3 linked regions of the Notamacropus eugenii genome follow. The protein of the gene in region 1 binds, or shares a complex with, the protein of each later gene. Links are inferred from orthologs where the notes say so. Each region holds a gene or a part of one and is shown on either strand. Other genes may lie near its edges.

What was found.
Region 2: the proteins of TLN1 (region 1) and PIP5K1C are in contact, whole or in part, in a crystal structure (PDB 1Y19), measured with the Mus musculus proteins. The link is inferred for Notamacropus eugenii from reciprocal best matches to the Homo sapiens genes TLN1 and PIP5K1C. Residues at the interface, in NP_035732.2 of Mus musculus: Pro209, Val210, Gln211, Leu212, Leu214; in NP_032870.2 of Mus musculus: Pro646, Leu647, His648, Tyr649, Ser650, Ala651.
Region 3: the proteins of TLN1 (region 1) and APBB1IP are in contact, whole or in part, in a crystal structure (PDB 4W8P), measured with the Mus musculus proteins. The link is inferred for Notamacropus eugenii from reciprocal best matches to the Homo sapiens genes TLN1 and APBB1IP. Residues at the interface, in NP_035732.2 of Mus musculus: Leu1492, Ala1495, Thr1496, Val1498, Ala1499, Thr1502, Ser1503, Cys1506, Asn1507, Arg1510, Val1526, Ala1529, Lys1530, Ala1533, Asn1534, Thr1536, Ala1537, Val1540, Ile1543, Lys1544, Asp1547; in NP_062329.2 of Mus musculus: Asn5, Ile8, Asp9, Met11, Phe12, Thr14, Leu15, Glu18, Met19, Leu21, Leu22, Ser25.

What each region holds. Positions count from the first base shown.
Region 1 is NC_092872.1:79,292,738-79,300,387, reverse strand, and holds the start of TLN1 (talin-1), read left to right. Parts: upstream 1-4,588; 5' UTR 4,589-4,638; intron 4,639-4,919; exon of another isoform or gene 4,920-5,481; intron 5,482-5,612; exon of another isoform or gene 5,613-5,733; intron 5,734-5,755; exon of another isoform or gene 5,756-5,778; intron 5,779-7,650. Other genes in the region: CREB3 (cyclic AMP-responsive element-binding protein 3), read right to left, coding at 52-120, 226-332, 2,870-2,962, 3,137-3,207, 3,347-3,515, 3,658-3,795, 3,900-3,950. UniProt on the Homo sapiens protein: High molecular weight cytoskeletal protein concentrated at regions of cell-matrix and cell-cell contacts. Involved in connections of major cytoskeletal structures to the plasma membrane.
Region 2 is NC_092875.1:54,375,509-54,382,501, forward strand, and holds the start of PIP5K1C (phosphatidylinositol 4-phosphate 5-kinase type-1 gamma), read left to right. Parts: upstream 1-3,951; 5' UTR 3,952-4,146; coding exon 4,147-4,252; intron 4,253-6,993. UniProt on the Homo sapiens protein: Catalyzes the phosphorylation of phosphatidylinositol 4-phosphate (PtdIns(4)P/PI4P) to form phosphatidylinositol 4,5-bisphosphate (PtdIns(4,5)P2/PIP2), a lipid second messenger that regulates several cellular processes such as signal transduction, vesicle trafficking, actin cytoskeleton dynamics, cell adhesion, and cell motility.
Region 3 is NC_092874.1:67,270,444-67,277,934, forward strand, and holds the start of APBB1IP (amyloid beta A4 precursor protein-binding family B member 1-interacting protein), read left to right. Parts: upstream 1-4,439; 5' UTR 4,440-4,644; exon of another isoform or gene 4,645-4,966; intron 4,967-7,491. UniProt on the Homo sapiens protein: Appears to function in the signal transduction from Ras activation to actin cytoskeletal remodeling. Suppresses insulin-induced promoter activities through AP1 and SRE. Mediates Rap1-induced adhesion.

The sequences.
Region 1 (7,650 bases):
GGTCCAAGAGGATAAGGCAACTGAGGCACCAATTGTTCTGTGGTTACTTACAAATTCTGCTTCTCCAAGAGCTGCACTTTCTTCTGTAACTCCAGGTTCTGGGCTGTGCAAGCCAAGACCCTGGAATAACCATGGAAACAGCATGTCCTCAGTCATCTCCCCCTTTTAATATGACATCCCCTCCCCATCCATCCTCTTCTCTCCTTTCCCCAGCCCCTGACATACCTACTTTCTAGCCCTCCCACATACACTTTCTTCTTCCTTCTACTTTCTTGAGCAGATTGTTTGTTCCGAATCTTTCTCCGAACTTGTTTCAAGGCTCGCTCCTCTGCCTGAGTCAGAGATTGGAACAAGGAAGGAGAGAATCCATCAGTAACAGAATTTTGGTCTTGAAAAGTAATTCAGATATGACTTAGTTCAACTCAACCGGTGTAGGAATCCCTAATCATCTAAACCTTTGCTCTAATGCTTTGTCTAGTGTTTAAAAAAAACAAAAAAAAAAACCTCTACCTCAAAACTCTTTCAACTGTCATTAAGCCAAAAATCTAACAATGTAAAAAACTCTGCCTCCTTTTAATTTCTATCCACCAGTCTCAGTTCTGAGTTTTGGGACTACATAGGATAAGAATTGTTCTATGTGAGTTATCTTCAGACATCTTAAAATAATCAAATCTCATTTCCAGACTATAAACCTCTTTAAATGTTCTCATGACATGGTTTCCATGTCACCTTATTGATTTTGTACTCATTCATGTCTTTAAAATATGGCATCCAGAACTGAACATAATATTCCATAAAGCCTAGCATAAGAAAGGTTTACATTGGGGCGGGGAACCTGTAGCCTCTAGGCCACATGTGGTCTACTTGGTCTTTAGGTGCAGCATTTTGACAGAGTCCGAGTTTCACAGAACAAATCCTTTTATTAAGGGGATTTGTTTTGTGAAGTTTGAATTCAGTCAAAGGGCTGCACTTGAGGACCTAGGGAGCTTGAGGCCAGAGGTTCCTCACCCCTGGTTTACATCATCTATTTAAGCTCCTACCTGAAGCACAGATTTTCTCTGCCACACTCCGAATAAATGGGACATCCAATCTTTGAAGACATGACAGGACATACTAACTCTCAAAGCAGCTTGTACTACATTTGGACAATATACCATTAGAAAGTTCTTAACTTAAATCAGAATCTGGTAAATGTCATCTGTTGGTTTAATTCTATTGCCTGGGACCAAGAACAAAAAAGAATCCCTCCAGCTAATGACTGTCCAAATGTGTAAAGACAAGCTGTTATTCATCTATACACACACCAGCTTCCCAATGGCCTTCCTAAACTATGGTTCTTAGATCTGAAGATGATGTCTTCTAAATGTGCCCTGGTCAGGGCAAAAGGACATGAGGACTAATAATGCAACTTTGGATCACTGGCTTTTTTTTTTCTGATTTGTCACACTTTTGACTTACATTGAGCTTGCTAAAATACCCAAGTCCTTTTCACGTAAACTACTATTTTATGTCAGAGGCCTATTCATTGAATGGGTGTATCTCACTCAGAGTGAGAATGTGATAAGACCTTGGCTTAAAAAGGTCAAGGTCTCACACTGCATTCTGAGCCATCTCCAGTCATCCTGATGAATATCTGGTCACTGGACCCAGATGACTCAGGAGAAGAAAGTGAGGCTGGTGACCTTGCCCAGCCCTCCCTCACTCAAATCAAAGTCAAGTGCAAGTCATGTCATCATCTTGATGTCATGGTCCTCTTTGAGAACGAAGGACAAACAACTATTTTATATATCTCCCATCCTAAATTCACGAGGTTGATTTCTTTGAGCCCAAGTGTAAGACTACATTTATTTCTATTAAATTTCATCATCTTAAACTAGGCCTGCTGAAACTATTTAGGTTATTGATCTAAAGACTAGCCCCCTGCTAATAATATTAGCTATCCCTCCATCACTGAAAATTTTGTCAAGAGGTCATCTGTGCCTTCACGATATTGAACAAAAAGGCCAAGGAGACAGCATCCGAGCACTCCACTGGAGTTTTCCCTCCAAGCTGAGTTCATTCCAAATTTACCTATCTGTACTATTGTATCTGGTTCTATCTCCCCACCTTATCTAAAAGGCTATCAAATGCCATGCTGAAATCTAGATATCGTGTCCAAATCATTATTCTGATCTACCCATCAAAGGAAATGAGTCTAGTCTGGTCATCATATTCTTAATAAACCCATAATGACTCAGCCTAACCATGGGATTTTTCCATCTGACTAGCAGCTGAAAGCTTCCGTATGTGTTGTCTCCTCTATTCAAAAGGTGAATTTCTCGAAAGCAGGGGCCATCTTCCATTTGTACCTCCAGCACTTATTTAATCATTCTTTCATTCATACGTACTGATCATCACTTTTAGATTCAGTTTAACAGCAAATGCTATAGCCACCCTATTCATCAACAAGCATTTATAAAGTGTTCACTATGCTCCAGGCGCTGTGCTTCCTTTTGGAGGATACTATACTTTTATTAATGCTTCCCAGAATGTCTTAGTTTTTTTTTTAGAAACCACTTCACCGTGCTGTTTCATATTGAAGCAATCAGCTAAAATCATCAAGTCTTTTTCACAGCAATTGTTAAGAAACATCTCCCCCTTTCCTATATTTGTGCAATTGTCCTCTTGAACTTACTTGGAGTTGCCATTTCTAAGTTTAATCATATTAGCTTGGGCACGTTGTTTCTGTTGAGGTATTTTGAAATGTGATTCGGACATCTGGAACATTAGCTATCCCAGGTTTGTTGCCCATAAATTTGAAAAGCAGACCTTTTATGGCCATCCTCAAATGGTACCAGGCATGATACCCGTGACCATGAAGGAGTCTCACCTTAGTAAGGGGGAGAGTCTCAGGAAGGGTCAACCCTTCTTTCTGTAGCAGCCTCTTCTCTTCATCTGTCAGTATCAACTGAGGAAACTCGTGCTGGAGAAAACAGGAAAATGACATGTGACAGGGAGGGACCAAGGAGTAAATAAAGTGGGAAGAAGACATCTGGAGCTTGAGGAGAGAGAAGTGTGGGGTTGATCAAAGCATCCTGATATTATCAGAGGTGATCATCTCCCCCTTACTATTAATGTTTGCCCCTCCTCCAGATACCTGCAGTGTCATTTCTTCCATCTGCAAGGAGACCCTTGATTCTTGAGCCACATCTCTGAGACCATCATCATCTGCAGGAGGAAAATAATTAGAACCAAGAGCCCTGGGCTCCTAGTTTCATCCCCCTTTCCATGTCCCTCCCTCAGAATCCTCTTTCTGCCTTCCCAGTCACTACCTACCCGCATACATGATTCCCCTTTCCCAGCTTACCCAGGTCAATGTAGACATCATCTTGGGAGGAACCTTGTACATTCCAGCTCAGAGAGTAAGTGTGATCAGTGTGAATGAAGCTGTAGCTAGGAGGACTTGGGAGGGATGGTGAGGTGGGGGGTCCCAGCAGAGACATCAGGAATTCTTCTGCTTCCCACTCATTCAGCACCTATACAGCCACTTAGTTCAGAAGCAGGCCTTGCTCCTCTCCTCCCAGCTTCCTGTCCCAACTCTCCTTGGAATCTCTCCTCTTCATTTATAGCACCACCATTACCCCAACCAAGGCTAAGCCTGGCCCAGCCCCTACTCACCTCAGGAGGCAGCATCCCATCATCCTGCTGGTCCTCTTCCCTCTCCCCAAGGATTTCCCATAGATCTCCCCCTTCCTCCTTCAGGAAATCCAGCAGGTCGTTGTCACCTGGGTCCAGGACAGGCTCCATGGTGGACATCTAGAAGAAGGAGAAGGAATCACCATCCGCATCCTGATCCTCTTTTCCCCTCCAAAGGGTAGAAGGTGAAAGGCGGTCAGTCAACATTCATATTAAGCCCTTACAATATGCCGAGCACAGAGAATACAAAGAAAAGCAAAAGCCGTCCCTGCCATGGAGGAGCTCTGTCTGTTCTCTCCGGCCCCCCATCATAGAGCCCCAGAGGGGGGACGTTGGAAGCAGAGGGCCAGGGTCGGCCCGGCCCTGCCCCGGCCCCAGCCCCCCCCCCCCACACACACACACCCCGCCCCCCAAAGCAGAGAGCACCGGCACGCCCTCCCACCTACCCTGGAGGGCTGGAATGGCCACTTCTCCGCCTCCTCGGCCAGGTTTCCAACCCCACCCCTCGTCTGCTCCCTTCCACCTCTACGCGAACTGGCCAAATTTGGGGTTCTACTTCCCCTCGGGCCGTCTCTCCCCAGCCCGGACAGCCTCTCCCAAACCCGACCCAGCTCCAGCCTTCCAACACCACAAAAATGACGTCAGCCAGAAGGCCGCGGCATGCTGGGAGATGTAGTTCCCCCACGCCCGCCCGGATGTAGCCCGCACTCCGACTGCTGTCATGTATCCCCGAGCCTCGTACCCCTCGCCAGGCTTTCCGTTCCTGAGGTCGATCGGTCCCGCTCTGTGCACACGCAATGAGTTTTCTTTGTTCGTTTAGGTTTTATTGATGCCTTTCGTTTCCTGACAGCCACCAGCCCCCTCCATTGAACACAGGCGGGGAGCAAACACCACGTTCCGCACCCGTGGCCCCTCACCTCTGCACCAACAGAAAGTGCGGTCGCGACGTGAATCGGCGGTCAGGTACTTTCGAGGTGGTTTACAAAGGTGTGAGTGACGACGTGTTCGCTGTCCCCGTGACCACCCACGCACGCCCTTCGCAGACCGCTGAGAGCGCCCCTCCCTGCCTCTGTCACACACACACAGGGGCTTCCCGCTGGCCTCCCTGTCCGCGCGTGTCCCCAACTTTCCCGAGCCCACGCGAAGGGCGTGAGCGACCCCCACGAGCATCAGAGGGCAGGCGGGGCCCTTCCCTGGGGCGGAGGGCGGAAGGGGGAGCTCCCGGGTCTGCTGGGGAGACTCACACATGACACATGCCCTGCAGACGGAGGGGCTCGGTCAGGCCGGGAAGTCTCGGGGAAACAGGTGGGTCCGCTTTCGTCCGCCGGGCTCTCCGCGGGTCTGGGGCTGAGGAGGGGGCGAGAGGCGGGCTTCCCGCGGGGCGCGCCTCCCGGGCCCCGCCCCCCCGCCAGGGAGGCCCCGCCCCCCCGCCAGAGCAGCCCGCAGCACAGCGAGACGGGGCGGAGTGCGCCTCGGGTCCGCTAGGCTGCGCGCGGTAACGGAGCCGCGGCCCGCGCCGCGCATGCGCCGCCCTCGCTGCAGGGGAAGTTGCCCGGGTCTCCGGGCCGGCTCCCAGGCATAGAGAGCGGGGGCCAGAGCAGCTTCCTGCAGCAGCCAGGGCCGTAGAGGGGCGGGCCCAGGGCGCCGCCCACGGGTGGGGGGGACGCGCTCCGGGGACGGAAGTGGCGGAGAGTTCGTCAGTCGGCGGGAGGGCGAGGCCGGACCCCGGACCCGGGAACCTGGAGAGCGAACGAGTGAGTGACCTGGAGGGCGGGCCAACGAGCGAGAGGTCCCCGCACGGCCCAGGTAGGGCCGAGGCGGTGCCGAGCGCGGGGCGGGACCAGGAAGGACGGGACGGCGGCGGGAAGGGGCAGGGCCGGGCGGGGGGAGGGGACTGGATCCGGGGGAGGGGGCCCGGCCGCGGCGGAGGGTGGGGGGGGGGAGGGGGAGGGGGGAAGGCAGGGGTCGAGCGGAGGCCGCAGCCTCGGTCCGCAGCCAGGGCGGTCAGGGTGGGCGCCGCCGCCGGCTCCCTCCTTGGCCCGAGAGGTCAGGGTCCGGGTGTGTCCATCCTGCTTGTCCAGCTGCTTGGCGGGCGGAGTTGTGGTACCCGGGATGCTGGGGGGCGACAGTTATGGGGTAGCGGGGCGAGGCTGACGGGCCTGGGCTGTAAAGCTGGGGTTCGGGAATAGGGGGGAGCGGATCGTGGGGACGGGGGAGGTGAGGCGGGCCAGGACGGGGGACCCGGCTGGGCTTAGCGGGGTGGGGTGGGGCAGATCGGGAGGGCTCCAAGGCCGGGTGGGAGGGTGTTCGCTGGTCCGGGCTGCGGGGTCCGGAGCCGGGATGGCGTGCCTGGGTTTGGCGTTGGCCGGGTAGGTTCGGAGATGCAGGCTCAGGTGCGCCCCAGGTTTGGGGGAAGTTCGAGTTAAATGGGGTTGGAATTTGGAGCCGAGTATCCGATGGACGTTGGAGGTGTCCTGAGGATAACAGGAGAGATGTGCTGGCCCTTACTGGTTATTGAGATTGTGGGGCGACAAGTATGGAAGCGCTTCTTCTTGCCGGGTGCTGTGACAAGCCCTGGAGGCACAGAAAAAGGCGAAAACAGCGTCCCCGCCCGAAAGGAGCTCGAAGTATGATAGGGGAGACAGCGTGCAGACGTCTGTGTGCGGGCAAAATAGTGCGGAGTGATGGAGGATAATCTCAGAGCGAGGCATTGTGCAGTGAGAGGGCAAGCAGGTGGGATTTGAGCTGAGGCTTGAAGGAAATCAGGGCAACCTGGTTAAGATTTAGGCTCATGACAAATAGGCAAGCTCTACACTCAGGATTTTTGTTTTTTAGATCACTGTTAGAATACAGAGGGCAAGTTACGGCTAATATTAGGGATAGCATCAGGATTCACAGGTTTGGATAGTCAGGATTAGTTTGTGGGTCAGTGTTGGGGATTGTAGGATCATAGGTTTAGAATTGGAAAGGGTTAGTCAGGAATCAAATTAAAAGTCAGGGGTAGCACTTGAGTTTCGGGTCTGCATTACGGATGAATTTATCTTCCAAGAATCAAATTAGGCTTCAGGGATTAGGAATGGCATTGGTGTTTGTGGAGGGCGGTTAGCCAACCATGAGTCAACTAGCACTTGATAAGTGCTTGCTGTGTGCCAGACTTTGTGCAATGAAAAATACAAAGAAATGCAAAAAAGAAAATCTAGTTCCTGCCCTCAAGGAGCTTACATTCTGAGGAGGAAGCTTCATGAAATAAGTACCTAAAGAAGATATATAGAGTGAGTAGGAAGACCTCTGAGAGGGGAGATTACTAGCAGCTAGGGGAATCTGGAAAGGCCTACACCACAAAATGGAATTTGAGCTGAATTTTGAAGAAAATAGAGAAAACTTAAGAGTTGGAGGTAAGCAGATAGAGCATTCCAGGCTTGGGGAACAACCAGTGAAAAGGCAAGGAAACTGGAGAACAGCTAGGAGACCAGGCTAGCTGCGTGGTAGAGTTCACAGAGAAAAGACTGAAAAGGTAAAAACTCTAAATGCCAAATAGAGTTTAGATTTGATCAGGGATCCAAAAATTGGGATCATTGTTAGGATGAAAGGATGTGAGTAAGGGTTAAGGATAGACGTCAGTAGTCAGTGATTGGTTCAGGCATCATTGGTAGGCCATTGGGAATATCTACTAAATAATGATTTTCCACTTAGGGTCAGTGTTTGAAGTCGTTAATGTTAAGGAGATGAGAGTTAAAGGTCAGTGATTTTTTTCAGAGTCAGCATTAGGGTTCAGGAATTGGGTTGAATGTTTTGGTTAGTCATAGGTTAGCATTAGATTTAAATGGTTAGGAATCAGAAAGAGAGTTAGCTATTTGGACTAGGCTAGAAATAAGTCCAAAGGTTTAGGATTAAGGGTCAGGGTAAGAGTGAGTCAATGATCAGATCAGAATCAGTATTGAAGTTCAGGGATTAAATTCTGAACTCAGGCTTAGG
Region 2 (6,993 bases), on another chromosome or scaffold:
ATAAAAGAGCCATTCCCCAACTTATATATGGTCAAAGGATATGAGCAGTCAGTTTTCAGAAGAAGAAATCAAAACTATCAATAGCCACATGAAAAAATGTTCTAAATCACTGCAGATTAGAGAAATGCAAAACGAAACAACTTTGAGCTACCATATCTATCAGATTAGCTGACATCAGAAAAGAAAAATGATAAATGCTGGAGGGGATGTGGAAAAATGTGTACTATAGTGCACTGCTGGTGGAGTTGTAAAATGGTCTAATTATTCTAAAGAACAATTTGGAACTATGCACAAAGGGCTATAAAACTGTTCATACCCTTTGACCCAGGAATAGCACTATTAGATCTGTATCCCAAGGAAATCAAAGAAAAGGAAAAAAGACCCTATGTGTACAGAAATATTTATAGTAGCTCTTTTTTGTGGTGGTAAAGAATTGGAAATTGAGGGGATGCCCATCATTTGGGAAACGGTTGAACAAGTTGTGGTACATGATTTCAATGGAATACCCTTGTGCTATAAGAAATGACAAGCAAGAAGCTTTCAGAAAAACCTGGGAAGACTTACATGAGCTAATGCAAAGTGAAATGAGCAAAACTCAGAGAATATTGTAAATAGGAATAGCAATATTGTAACAAATGCGAAAGATTTAGCTACTCTGATCAATACAATAATCTAAGACAATTCCAAAGGATTCATGATGGAAAAAGTTGTTCTCCTCCAGAAAGAGATCTGATGAACTGAGTGTAGATTGAAGAATATTTTTCACTCTTTTTCTTGCTTTTTATTTATTTGCAATATGGCTAATATGGTTTTGCATGATTTCACATACATAATTGCTATCCTTGCTTGACTTTTCCATGGGTAGAGTAAGAGAGGGAGGGAGAGAATCTGGAATTTTGGAACATTTTTTTTTAATGAATGTTAAAAATAAAGATGATCAATTTGACAGCTGAGTGAAGGATGAATTGGAGTGGGGAGAGACTTGAGGCAGAGAGATAAACCAAAAGGGTATTTCCATAGTTCAGGTATGAGATTATGAATTCCTTCACAAGCGTAGTGGCAGTATCAGAGGGAAGAAGGGTGTAGAGTATAAGAGTTGTTGTATTGCGTTCAGTGTTATTCCCATAGGTCACTCCTCAGAACATGACACTGCACTGGCTGTAAAACCTAGCCTGGACTCAGACTTCTAGAGTCTGGTGGCTTCCTCTTCTGATCTTTTGAAACTCCCAGTCTTGGAGACTCTTTTTGCTTCATCAGACTCAATGGGTGGAGCCACTCCACCAAGATAATAGCCAAAAAGTCTGAAGTAGAGGGATGACTGAAGCCACGATCAAAAAAAATCCCATTCACTAAGTGGTTAGCTGACCAGAACTAGTTCTAGGATCATGCATGAGCCACTGCCCCTCCACGACACTTCCCCTACAAGTCATCAGGCCTCTCTCCAGCATTGTCCACATGGATAGCAGAGTAAACTTTTGAGGTCTGTGAATATTCCAGACTCTTGTTAAACAAAAATACTTGTAAGATCTAGGTTGGAAGGATCCTCAGTGATCACACAGTCCAAACTCATTTCATCGTATCCAAGATCACAGAGCTAACAAGTAGCAGGTTGAGCCCTGGGTTGTCCAACATTTTTATCCATGACTTGGACAAAGACACTGATGGCATGCTTCTCAAATGTACAGATGACACAAAGCTGAAATAGATAACACATGTCAGGATCCCAAAAGATCCTGCTGGGCCAGAATGCTGAGCTGAATCTAATTGCTTCTCAGTCTATTTGGGTCTTAATCTCGCTATGACCTACTAGAGTCTTTTTCTAGAGTTCTTTTATTATCTTTTTCTCGTTTCTTTTACATTTCTCACCATCTAATTGTACATCCTGCTCAAGACCTTCCACTGACCACCTCCATATGTGATCAAAGACCTCTGCCAGAGGTCTCCTGCTTCCTTATCTGACATCCATTCTCTTTAGTGGTTCTCTACTGATCTCTTGGGCAGTTCCTTCCTTGCTTTACCTCTCTTTTTACCTTACTATATAGGTAAATTGCTTATTTTATTCAGAACATGGCCTCAATAATCCTAGATTACACTTAAAAAAAATACCTAGCACCTAGAATTTTTAGTACTTTACTTCAGTTTCAGGAACTTCTTCCTTCCTTCTTTCTTTCCTTCCTTCCTTCCACTTATTTATTATTCAAAATCTAGTTCAAATGATAGTTGCTTTTTCTCCCTTTGCCCCTGATTCTTTTTTCATAAGGAATCTTCCTTTATGGTGCTCACAAATTAAGTTGTGCCTAGTTCTAGATTTTATCTCATTTTTTTCCTTCTTTACTCCCCTACTTTAAAAAAAATCAATTTCATTTATTTATAGTTTTACCTATTACTATATCCCTATACATATAGATACATATACACTCAGTGTAGAGATTAAGATTAAGTAATTATTATGTAACAAAGATTAAGAGAAGATAAGGATAGGGTTTTTTTTGTGGGACAAAGGTAGAGCTAGACTGGAATATGGATTCAAGTTTAGAATAGGCCTACTGAAAGGAATGGTATGTCCTTTTAGGATCAAGGCAAGGGATCAGTGTTGAGTTTTAGAGAAAGTAATAGGATTCAGAAATTTGTATGGTTTAGGGTTAAGTACATAAGTTTAAGTAAATTGATAGAAAGATATATTAATATTAGAGAGTGATAATTTTAATATCCTAGAATTAGGTTTTAGGAATAATTTGAGAAATATTTTAAGAATACAATCAATTCAATTGAAAAGACAATTTCCTAAATGTCAACGTGAAGTCATATGCTTGCATTTTTAAAAATAATCTTTGTAGGGAGGCATGGTTAGACAGAAATACATCTGAAAAAAGACAGGGAGGAGGGGGTTCAGTTAATTGAGAGTTCCATATGTGAGTCGAATGGCAGCCAAAAAATAAAAATCTGACTTTAGACTGCAAATAAAAAAGGTCTACCATTCAGGACTAGTCAGTGACAATGTCTCTGGGTTATACCAAGATCGGACCACCTCAGGAGTATCATGTATAACCTGGCCACATCCTTTTAGAAAGTCACTTGAAGGACATCTAGAGAAAAGCAAATAGGATGGTGACCTTCATGCCATGATGACTACCTGAAGGAACTAGGGTCCTTTATCCTAGAGAAGACTCCCCAGAGGACCAAGTCTGGACCAAGCTGCCTTCAAGTACCTGAAGAGCTAGCTGTCACATGGAGGAGACGTTGGGCTTGCTTCTAGAAGCGGGGATGGAAGTGGGAAGGAGAAAGGAGCATGCTTGATGTCCACAGCTTAAAGAAAGGCAATGAGCTGCCCCTGGATGTAGTGGTCCCCTGTGCTTGGAGCTCCAATTTGGCTTCTGACCATCACTAGCTGTGTGACCCTGGGCAAGTCGTATGACTTCTCTCTGCCTCAACTTCCTCTTCTGTAAAACGGAGATGAGAACACCTCCCTCCCTCCCAAGGTGGCTGTGTTGATAAGGAGGAGATGGGACCTGTGAAAAGCTTTGAAAACTTCAAAGCGCTGTCAAGCAGAAAGCAGCAGTTTGCACTACTTAATTCACAAGCTTTGCCAGCCAGCACCGAGCCTTTGGGGTCGCCGCGTGGAAGCGCTGGTTATCTTCATCACCGTCATCATTCGTAGGATGATGATGGTACCTGGGTGGCATGTGTTGGGGACGTGGGGGACTCGGGCTCCTTCCCACGCCCGCCTCCTGGACCGCCTGGGTCACTCGGTACGACCCTGCGGCTGCCCTTCCACCAGCTCGCCCCGGGGAGGCGCTCTCCCAGCCTCGGCGTGAAGACGTCAACCCGCCCCCTCCCCACTCCCAATCTCTTCCCCGGTTGGCAGGGAGAGAGGGCGCGTGACCAGGCACGGCCGTGGCCCCGCCCCCTCCCTCCCCACTCCCTCTCTTCCCCCCTCCCATCCCTTCCCTCCCTTCCCTCCCTCCCCCTTCCCCCGTCGCTCCCTCCCTCTCCCCTTGTCAGTCCGGACTCTCCCTCCCGGCGGTTGTTGTTCCGCGGCGGCGGCGGCGGCGGCGGCAGCTCCCTTCCCTCAGCCGAGGAGCCGGCTGGGCCTGGCGGGGCTTTCCCCCCGCCGGCCCCCGCCTCGCCTCGGGCCCGTCAGCGGCGATGGAGCTGGAGGTGCCGGACGAGGCGGAGAGAGCCGAGGCGGGGGCCGTTCCTCCGGAGGCAGGATGGGCTGTGGAGAGCGGGGCGGCGGCGCCCTCGGCGACAGGTAACGGTCTCCGGCTCCTCGCCCTCCTCGCTCCCCTCCCCCCCGCCCGCCTCGGTGGTGCCGGCCGCCCCTTCGCACCCCCCCGCCCCCGTCCCGATGGTGCCGGCCGCCCCCTCGCGCGCCCCCCCGCCCCCGCCCTGATGGTGCGGGCCGCCCCTTCGCTCCCCGCCCAGCCCTCCCGGATGGAGCCGGCCGCCGCCTCGACCCCCCGACCCCATCCTGGCTGCTTCACCGAACCGGCCCTTGGGTCCAGAAAGCCGGGAGCTCTTGGGGACCCGAGCCTTCGCTTCCTCTCCGCCGCGGGGGGCTGCAGGCAGTGCCCCATTTCCCAGTGTTGCCGGTGGGGGTGGGCAGGAAAAAGGGAGATTCCGGCCTCTTTTTCCCCACCCGAGGCTCAATGGGATGGAACTGACCGAGGCATCACCCCGTGACTTCCCCTCCCTGCCGGCCCCACGGCGGAACCGCCCCTCCCCGGGTGGGTGTTCCTCTCGGTCCTCAGCCTTCCCTTCCCGACCGGTCCCCCTGGGGTCCTGACATGCCAGTGCTCCTCGGGGAGAGGACGGGGAGCCGGAGCGGGTGGGGACCGGGGGCACCCGAGGGCAAGGAACCTTCCGGGTCATTTAGTCCAGGCCCCTGTCTCTGTCACCTTTTTGGCCAGCGCAGACGGATGGAGAGCAGGAGGCTTGTGTTCCAGATCCTTCCCTGCTTCTTGGCCCACTGCTTGGCCGAGAGCGGGCAAATCGCTTTATCTCTGGACCAGTTTTCTCCATCCATAAAATAGGCTTAATAATACTTACATCGCCTGTCACAGACAGGGCTGATGTGAGAAAAGCACTTTGTAAACCTTTGAAAAGCAGGGTGAGTTGCTAGCCCTTGTGGGCCTTCGCTTCCCGTCTGTAAAATGAGGGTGATGGGGAGCAGTTTCTAGATTAGAATATCCCAAAATCCCTTCTAGGGCTAAGAATTGGTTGAGGGGTAGGTAGGGAATTCTTACCTCCTAGTATTGCTTAAACTCCAGCCACTACTCCCAATGCACCCTTTATCTCCTCAAGCTTAATGTGAGGGATGCAGCTGGCATTATGCGTAGGAGAGAGAAGGGGAGAGAGAACCTATTTATCCATCCCCTGGCTGCTGATCTTTCCTACGGTGAATGGGGTGGTGGGTGAAGGTAGGATCCTGCCTTCTTCCTCAAGGGAAGATAGGCAGGAGTTTTGCAGAGGGAGTCTTACTTCCTGATGAAGTAGCTGAGATCTGAAGCTTTGGAATAGGAAAATTCTGGATTTCTGGAAGCCCCTCCCAAAGAAACCTCTTTTAGTCATCTTCTTTCCACGTTTAGTGACTCTCAAAATAAAGACAGTATATCTCATTTTCTCAAATAGTAATTGACCAATAGGGTTGGACTGTTGTTATGCCTGCAAGTTACGAAAATGTAGGGGACTCAAAAGATATGGGCAGTCATATTTCTTCCACAGTGTTCACCCCGTTGAAATATTTGTTTACTTGGAAAATGAACTAGTTTAGTTTTGAAGTGAAAAGATTTCTGGAATTGGACTGAGACCTGGGTTTGAATCAATATTCTCCTTTTTTGCTGAGCCTTAGTTGTGCTGTCTGTAATATGGGATTGGTATTTACCCAAAGTCATTTTGCTTTGTAAATCTTGGAGTGATATAGAAATGTAAATTGTTATTGTTAATCTGCTAAAAAAAAAAAAAAGTGTGTGACAGCTCATAAGGGCCCCACAAGACGTTCCTTGCTTGCTAGTTTCATTGAACAGTGTGGGCACTAGTCAGGTTGCAAAGCAGTAAGCAAGGTCCTTTCCTTTCCAGGCTTCATCTTCCACCTGTAATTCTTTCTTTGACACAAGCCAGAAAAGCCCAAGTCTTGCCAGGACACTAGAAACTCCATGTTGTTAAACATTTTATCTTAGAAGTTCACAGGGCTTCTGATTGGAAGACTGATAAGATTAAGTACAAGCCCTGACTGTTGAGAAACCTGAAATTAGATAGGCCTGGACCCAAAGATTACATGAACTCGCTAAAATTGAGTTGAATGGGCTGAGTCACTCAGTTCAGGAGGCTTTTACTGTTCCCTGAGTCTGACCTGGGAAGGAGCTTTCTCTAAGGAGATGCTGTTTCTCAGGGTTATGGTACCGGGGTGATTGGAGGATTATTCAGGCTGATGGATTTGGGGAGGGAGGAGACATGATGCTCAGAATTGTTGGTGGATTTAAAGGCTTTCATGATGAAAATTCCTAGCTCCAAGGAGTTGATTGTGGTTTCCAGGACCACTTAAGGGCCAGCACTGTGGTCAGTGGAGTTCTTCCTTTCTTCTCCCTCCCCGCCCCCAACACACACTGGTGCCCCTTTAATATGCAGGCTGATGACTTCAAAATGTTTTGATCCCTTAGAAAAAGCCACTAGCTAGGTTAGGTCACCTTTACTGACATCCCCCCATACCAACTCTCTTGCAAAATCCTTTGTCCAAAGTGCCAGAGCCAGAGAGGGCATCCAGTCCATCCCTGCCTCCATTTTACAGATGGACAATCCCAGTCCCAAGTAAGGGGGAGGGATTTATCTGCTTAAGGTCATACAGCAAATTAGTAGCACTAATGAGACTAGAATTCAGGTTTTCTGGGTCCAGTGAACCTTCCATTACACCAGAATGCCTTTTTAGAGGTTATTTCATACATTCAGAAAGAATTTCTTTCCCAAGCCCCATGCCAGGGCACTATGATGTGGTAG
Region 3 (7,491 bases), on another chromosome or scaffold:
GTGTGCTGATAAATTTCCAATAATGAGCTCTCCAAAAATGTACCTATAATATTCTTTCAAGATTAATCTGCATTATCATTTCCTCCATGACTTTCTGAAGTCTAATCAATCAACAAAACAATAAATCTAGTTCTGATTTAAAGTGTTTACAGGTTTCCAGGAGTAAATGCTCAGAATGAAAACCAACAGCAGCCTTTCCTGAGCAAGTTTAAGCTGGCCCCAGTATACTCCTGTCTCTGCTGAGTGAGAATATCTTTGAATTACAAAATCAATCAAAGACATAAAACAATTGTGAATAGTTCCTAGATAGCATCAGTGAAACACCCAATCAAAGGAATAAATTAGATTCCAACAAAGCAGTTAGTCAAATTGTAAGTGAAGTGTTTCCAATCATTGTAATAAATCAGAAAACATATATTGAGATTGGTGGAATAAAATTAGATACACACCTATGCCATATCTGTTAGGAAAGAAGATTCCATTCGGGTCAATGCAATAAGTGCTTTGAGAAATTAGAACCTTGGGGGCTCATGAGCAATGATATTAAGAAACAACCCCCTCATAGTTATTCCTAGAACCCTTAGAGGATAAGCAGTGGTCCATCTTCTGGGGATCCAACCTTCCAGTTTGAGTGGGAGTGAAGCAGGAAGTCGTACTAAACAAAAGTTCTGTTGCTCTGAAATGTATGGGTTATACCAGAGAAGAACTGATACTGAATGCTGCCTTCTGCAATTCTGGATCTGAGATACTCGAATCCTGAAAAGGACTGATCCTGGTTCTAAAATGCTTCACATTCTTCTCCACAGTGGGTTTTCCAAATCTGTCCTGTCAAGACTATCTCCAGACTTGGCCACTATGATTCTGTCTTTTTCCTCTTTTTCCTCTGTCCCTGAGGTTCCTCCTCCCATTGGTAAGTTCCTCACAGAAACTTCATTATGAGGAAGGGCCCTGACCAGCCATCCTTCCTCCTCTAGACTTTGCCACCAGGCCCCAGGTGAGGTCTTCTCCACCTTCTGTCCCCTTTTCAGCTCCTTTCATGTGTTATCTTCTCAAATTAGAATGTAATTGGCTTGAGGGCAAGGACTGAACTTCTCTTTGCATGTATTAGTGTCCCTAGTGCATACTGTTTGTTTTTGTTTGTCCCTCGTTCTTGAAGAGGACCAAGCACATCAGGAAGGTGGTACCATGACACTCAAGTGAATTGGATTCAAGTGAGGAGGCAGCCTCACTTTCTCCTCCAGAGCCATCTGGGTCCAGTGACCAGATACAGATCAGGATGGATGGAGATGGCCCAGGATGCAGTAGGGGACCCTGGTATTTTCCAGTTAAAGTCTTTTCCAGGTCTCATGAGGCAACACGCATTCAGTGATTGAGACTAAATAGAGGCAAGCCCTACTGCATAGCACAGTGGCTGGCACAGAGTAAGTGCTTAATGAATGTTTCTTAATCTGCCTTGATCTTAATCTGCCTTGAAATAAAACAAGGCTACTTTGATGGGGATAGAAGGAGGGGCTCTACCCAGAAGTGGATGAGCACTAAATCCATCAAAGTCTAACCACTCTAACTGGGTATCCTACACATTTGTTTTATCCAGCTCCTGTTGAGACCTCACTGCAACAAGGCAATCTTTTCTTCCTCCTTAATTATCTCACTCCCCACAGGAGTTATTCCAAACATTCTCTTCTCTCAAACCTCCCACACCTTCCCTTCTCCCCCTCTTCTCAGCTGAGGTGCTCTCTCTCATTCAGGTCATTGTTATGAGCTCCCTCTTCTTTCCTTTTCTTCATAACACTGTTTCCCTCAATCTTTGATGAAGTGACCCTTCTTCTGGTCAGGGTCAATTTCTTCACATGAACCCTTGATCCCATCCCTTATTTTTTCCAGAAGACTGTTGCCTTAGCCATCCCTTCTCTTTCCCTATCTTCAGTCTTTTCCTTTCTAGTGGTTCCTTCTGTACTGCTTTAAATTTTGCCCAAAGGAGGAGGAGGAAGACCAGCTAGGAGCACAGGTCCTGTAATCAAGAGAACCTGAGTTCAAATCCAGCCTCAGATACTTATTAACTGTGTGACCCTGGGCAAGTCACTTAACCCAGTTGCCTCCAAAAGACAAAAAACAAAACGTAAAAGAACTTCAAAAGACTCTATAATCCCTTCAAGCTATCATTTATTTCTCTCCATCTTTTCTCAGCCAAATTTCCCAGAAACACTATCTATACTAATTTCTTTCACTTCCTCTTCTTTTACTCCTCAGTTCTTTGCAATCTGGCTTCTGAAGTCATTAATTAACCCAAACTGCTCTCCTTAATGTTACTAAAGACTTCTTAATTACAGATTCTGGTGTGTTTTTTTCTCATTCTTTTGTTTTTTACCTCTCTGACACATTATTAATTACCCTCTCTTCCTAGATACTTTGCTCTGGGTTTTTGTGACATTATTCTCTCTTAGGTTGTCTTCCTACTGGTCTGACCACTTCTCAGTATCCTTTGCGAGCTTGCCATCCATATTAAATACTCTATCTGTGGATACTCCCCAAAGTTCTATCCTGGGGCTTCTCTTCTCTCTCTACATTCTTTCAGTGACTTCAGATACATGCACGAGTCATCTGCAGGAGGATGATAATATATACACATATACATGTATATAATATATACTCACATACATGTATACACATGTATATAATATGTACTCACATACATGTATATGCACATGTATACATGCCTAATTATATATGTCCATACATATATATATACATACATACCTGCATGCATACATATATATTCATGTCTATATCCAGCCACAATCTCTCCTCTGAACTAGCTTCAATTGGGTATCACAGCCTATTGGACACTGGAGACATCTCAAACTCAACAACTCCAAAATAGAACTCGTAACATCCCCTTCAAAAAATTAACTTTCTTCCAGACGTCCCTATTTTTACCAAAGGAACCACCATTCATCCATTCTCCCAGGTGGTACCTTTGGTATCATCCTTGATTCCTCCCTATCTCTCACCCCATGCAGTCAGTCAGTTGTCAAGTCCTTCTATTTCTACCTCCACAACACTTTTTGAATTGTACACTTAGCTAGCAGCATAGCTACTACCTTAGATCAGACCCTTATCAGTTCCCACAAATACTACTGAAATGGCTGCCTCTCCATGGCTGCCATAATGTTATTCCTTAACTGCAGGTTTAACCATGTGCCCCCCAGCCCAATCTAAAGTCTCTATAATTAAATATAAACTCCTTTGTTTGGCTTTTAAAGCCCTTCCCAATCTTTCCCCAAACTTTTGCCAGTCTTACTACCCATAACTCCACCCATAACATCCATTTCAAACTGTTTTTCTCTTGCTGCCATCTCCATGTCTTTCACTGGTCACTTCCTGTGCTTGAAATGCCCTCTTTCCTCACCTTCACCACTTTCTACAGGATGCCTTTCCCAATTTCCCTCCTTGACAACTTTGTATTTAGTCTGCATATTCTTACATATGCTCCTATCTCTTTCTTAATGGAATGTAAGGACCTTCAGAATAAGGATGGTCTCATTCTTTGTATCAGTATCTCCAGTAGCCAGAACAATACTTGGCAGGCAGTGAGCACTTAATAAGCTCTTTTTGATTGATTGATCCAATGACTTCTAAGGTCCCCTTCCTGCTCTAAATTCATGCTCCTACAAGGAACAATGTAAGGAAAAAAATGTTAGAGGTGAGGAGAAAGTTGTTTTAAAAAAAAAATCTCTCTTTGGCTGGGCACACTTTCTGGATGATGTGGGAAGGTCTTGTGCCAAGGGTGAAGAGGTAGGGAGATGGTGCAGACTAATAAGGAGGTCCTTGGAAGGAAGGAGAGGAGGTGGGTGGCTAACAGTCATAGCTAGGGGATAGAGGCTGGACATGGCCTTAGGTAGGCCTAAGCTCAAACACTGCCTTCCTCCCTGCCTCCCACTAACCTGTGACCCTGGGGAATCATTTAAACTCCCACCACCTCCCACTGTATCAAACTGGCATCTGAAAACCTGACTCTGAAAACCTTAAAAGACTGGATAAATACTAGATATTATTAACCTGCCTGCTAGCTGTGGCTGTGGAAGGTGACTACATGATCCAAGGTGGTGCTTGGGACTTGGAATTAGGAAAGACCTGAGTTTAAATCCAGTCTTTTCTTGGCCTCAGTTTCCCCAACTGTAAAATAGGAATAATGGCAGTTATTGCCAGGATCAAATGAGTTAATACGCGTAAAGTGTTTTTGCAAACTTGACAGTTTTATACAAAGGTTAGTTCTTATTATCCTTCGCTTTGGGAGGAATAAGGAGGTATGGGAAGGGGAGCAGACGCTGCAATTTGGGGGGGGGGGTGTCTAACCCCCTACACCCAAGAAAGCTCCGCAGTTTCCGCGTCCCTGGCTGGCTGTCGGGCGGCACTTCTGCTGGGAACTTACTTCAGTGAGACTCCGAAAGAGGAAGCGCCGAGCTCGAGGGCTGCAGGAAACCCAGTAAAGAGCAGAGGAGGTTGCCCAATGACTTCGGAGCACGGATGTGACTTGTCCCCTGCCTCCGCTCCAGGAGCCCGGAGAGTGGACCGGGCCTGAGCGAGGAGCCCCGTTTGCCAGAAAGGGGAACTGTCCAGCCTCGGGCGACCGCAGAGGCCAGGGTAACCGTACTACTCCCCGCACCCCTCAGGCGGAGAAGAGAGAAAGAGGAAGGGCCAGTGTAGATTAAGTGCGCCCCACCTCTGCCGATCCGCTATCCGGCGCTTGGGCTCTGTGCTCGCCGCCCGCGTTTTTACGCACGTGCGAATTTGCCACTTCAAGCCCCCGAAAGGCTCCCGGGGTGGGGGGTGGGACGGGGGGACAGGACTGAGCGACTTCCTCCCGGGAGCCAGCCGCAGACCTCGCAGCCCTAGCTCGCCAGGGGACTAGCTGAATCCTCCGTCCGTCTCAGCGCAGGAGCGACCGCGCCCGAGGCTCGCCAAGGTAAAGCTCCGTGTGAGGCGGGCGCGGGGGTGCCAGGGCGTCTCGGGCTGGGACGCCTGTGCCCCTCACCCCACTCCAGACCCAGGGTGCCCTGGAGAAGAGGCACCCAGCCCCCTTCCATTGGGGTGGGGGACCGCTATCAGCCTCCCCAGGTGCCCCCCGACCTTAGCGCCCCTCTCATTTTCGGGGGATTTCCACGTACGGGGAATTTACTCCTTAAAGAAGTGGGAAAAAAAGGGGCGCCCTTCCGCCATCCTCGCTCTCACTGCACCCGAAACTCGCTCGGGTGCTCGGCGGCCTGGCCCGAGATCTGTTTCACCAAATTTGCACAACTTCCTGCCAAGGAAATTGCTCAAAGTTTCTCCCAGTTTTAACACTGAGAAGCGGCATGAAGGCAGAACAGCCGACCCGTCGGATAAACCTAGAGCTTGTCTGGGAGGGAGCCTTGGGCTGGCTTTCATTCTGGTCTGGACCCTGTTGGCGATCTTAGCTCCACGGATAAGATTCATGGGGGGAGAGAATTGGAGAGATTTTGTGCCTAGGCATTGATTCTTAGCATTTGCCACCAAAGAACCCGAATGGCGCTAAAGACCCAGGTAGCTTTCTCCTGCTAGGATTTCTTCTCCGAATAATCTAATTTTTTTTCTTCTGAAGACCACTTCCTTTGGGCAAATGAGATAACATGTAAAGCCCTTTGCAAATCTTCTATCTTGTTGTTAAAAGCATCATCTTTTTTCCTTTAAGTGCAAAAAAAGTATAATTCAGGAAGTCAGTTGGCAACAGCCCTTTATTGTTAATGAGAATAAATCGTAAGGGTAAATTTTATATTTTACCAATAAGTCAAAAAACTTTAGTACTTTGTATGTTCCAGGCAATCAGCTAAGTCACTGGGGATAGACAAATGAAAATGCTGCAGCTCTTTCCCTCAACGAGTTTGCTTTTTATAGCAACGTCAGCTAACTATCTATCAGGAACTTGAGGCAGGTGGCTCAAGCTTTCCAGTTATGTGCGGTCGAATTGATAGTCTCCCATTGAAACGAATGGTGTGAGGGAGGCACGTGGTTGTGCTCTTTTACACTTTGTATGGTGAAGGTGCCCCCACATCTGCCCACAGTAAAGGAACGAGTCAGAAAAACAAAATTAGACTATTCAGAGAAGTACAGGAGTAACATGGAAACCCAATCCTTATTTAACAGCCATTTGAGTTTCTTGGTGTAGCAACTTTTAAGGCAGTGTCAAGTGTTAAAGGCAAGAGTAAATTTAAATTTGAAGACTTTCTTCAAAAATTTTAGACCATGACTCATTGTGTCACTTATACAATAGACAACTCTATGTTTCTCTGGTAGTTTTACAGTAAGGAAAGGGATTTTGGGGCAGCCTTAGAGATTTGGGGTGAACTTCATACTGATATAGTTTTGGGGAGGTATATATGCCAACTTTGAAAAATGGGGTGTGAGATTTGTTTATTTAATTTGTTTTGACTCAATTAAAATTATTCATTAAAGTATTTTCAAAGAAATTCAAAGATCTCTAGCATTAAAAAAAAATTTTTGTCTCTTAAAACCAAAATGTCACATTCTCTATGGTAAAGACACAAGTATATTGAACTGGGGAATCAGGATACCTGGATGGTCATCGCTCTTTCATCTCTAACTAGCGTGACTTTAGACAAGTCATTTAGACTTTTTAAGCCTTAGGTTTTTGGTTTTCTCCACTGTAAAAAGTTAGAGATCTTTAAAGCCTCTTCAAACTCTGACTGTATTTAGATTACCATATAAAGAATTACTAGTTACCTTACAAACTTAAAGGTCTGCATAACCTCATTCCAGATGGAAAAAATAATGCAAAGAGAAACTGACAAATTTATTGATTCATTTACAGGTCTTTGCTTCTGAGAAGTCCAGAGTATTTTGATAAGTAGTTATTTAGCCCTCAAAGTATATTATATCTCTTGGTTATGAGATGAGCAGGCCTCTATTTAAGAGATGGAACTACTGAGATAAAGAATTGACTTACCCAAGGTTCTGTAGAGAGCCTGTCTTATTAGTTAAGGGAGAGTTTGGTCACAGAGAATAGATTCTAGGTCTCCAGCATGATTATCACTAAAGAAACACAATTTTCTAATGTAGATCCTCTTTTGCTGACAGCTCTGCTTAATCCAAAATTCAGTGTCTAATTTCCTTCCAGTTTATTTGTCTCATTAATATATTTTTGTATTTAGGATGTGTACTATGTTAAAAGACTCCTGTCCTGCCTTTAATTACCCTATTTTTATTTTTGCATTTTTATTTTAATTATTAATTATTCATATGTTTGTGCACTTTGGTTTGTTTCCTGTCTTCTCCATTAGATTGTGAATTTCTTGAGGCCAGGGACTGACTGTCTTTTGCTTCTTTTTGTATCCCCAATATTTAGCACAGTGCCTTGTGCATGGTAGGTGATGAATAAATATCTACTGACTGTATCCATGCAGTTTTAGAAAAAACAACAAATGGCCATAAATGCCTAATTTGTAATTTGACCTC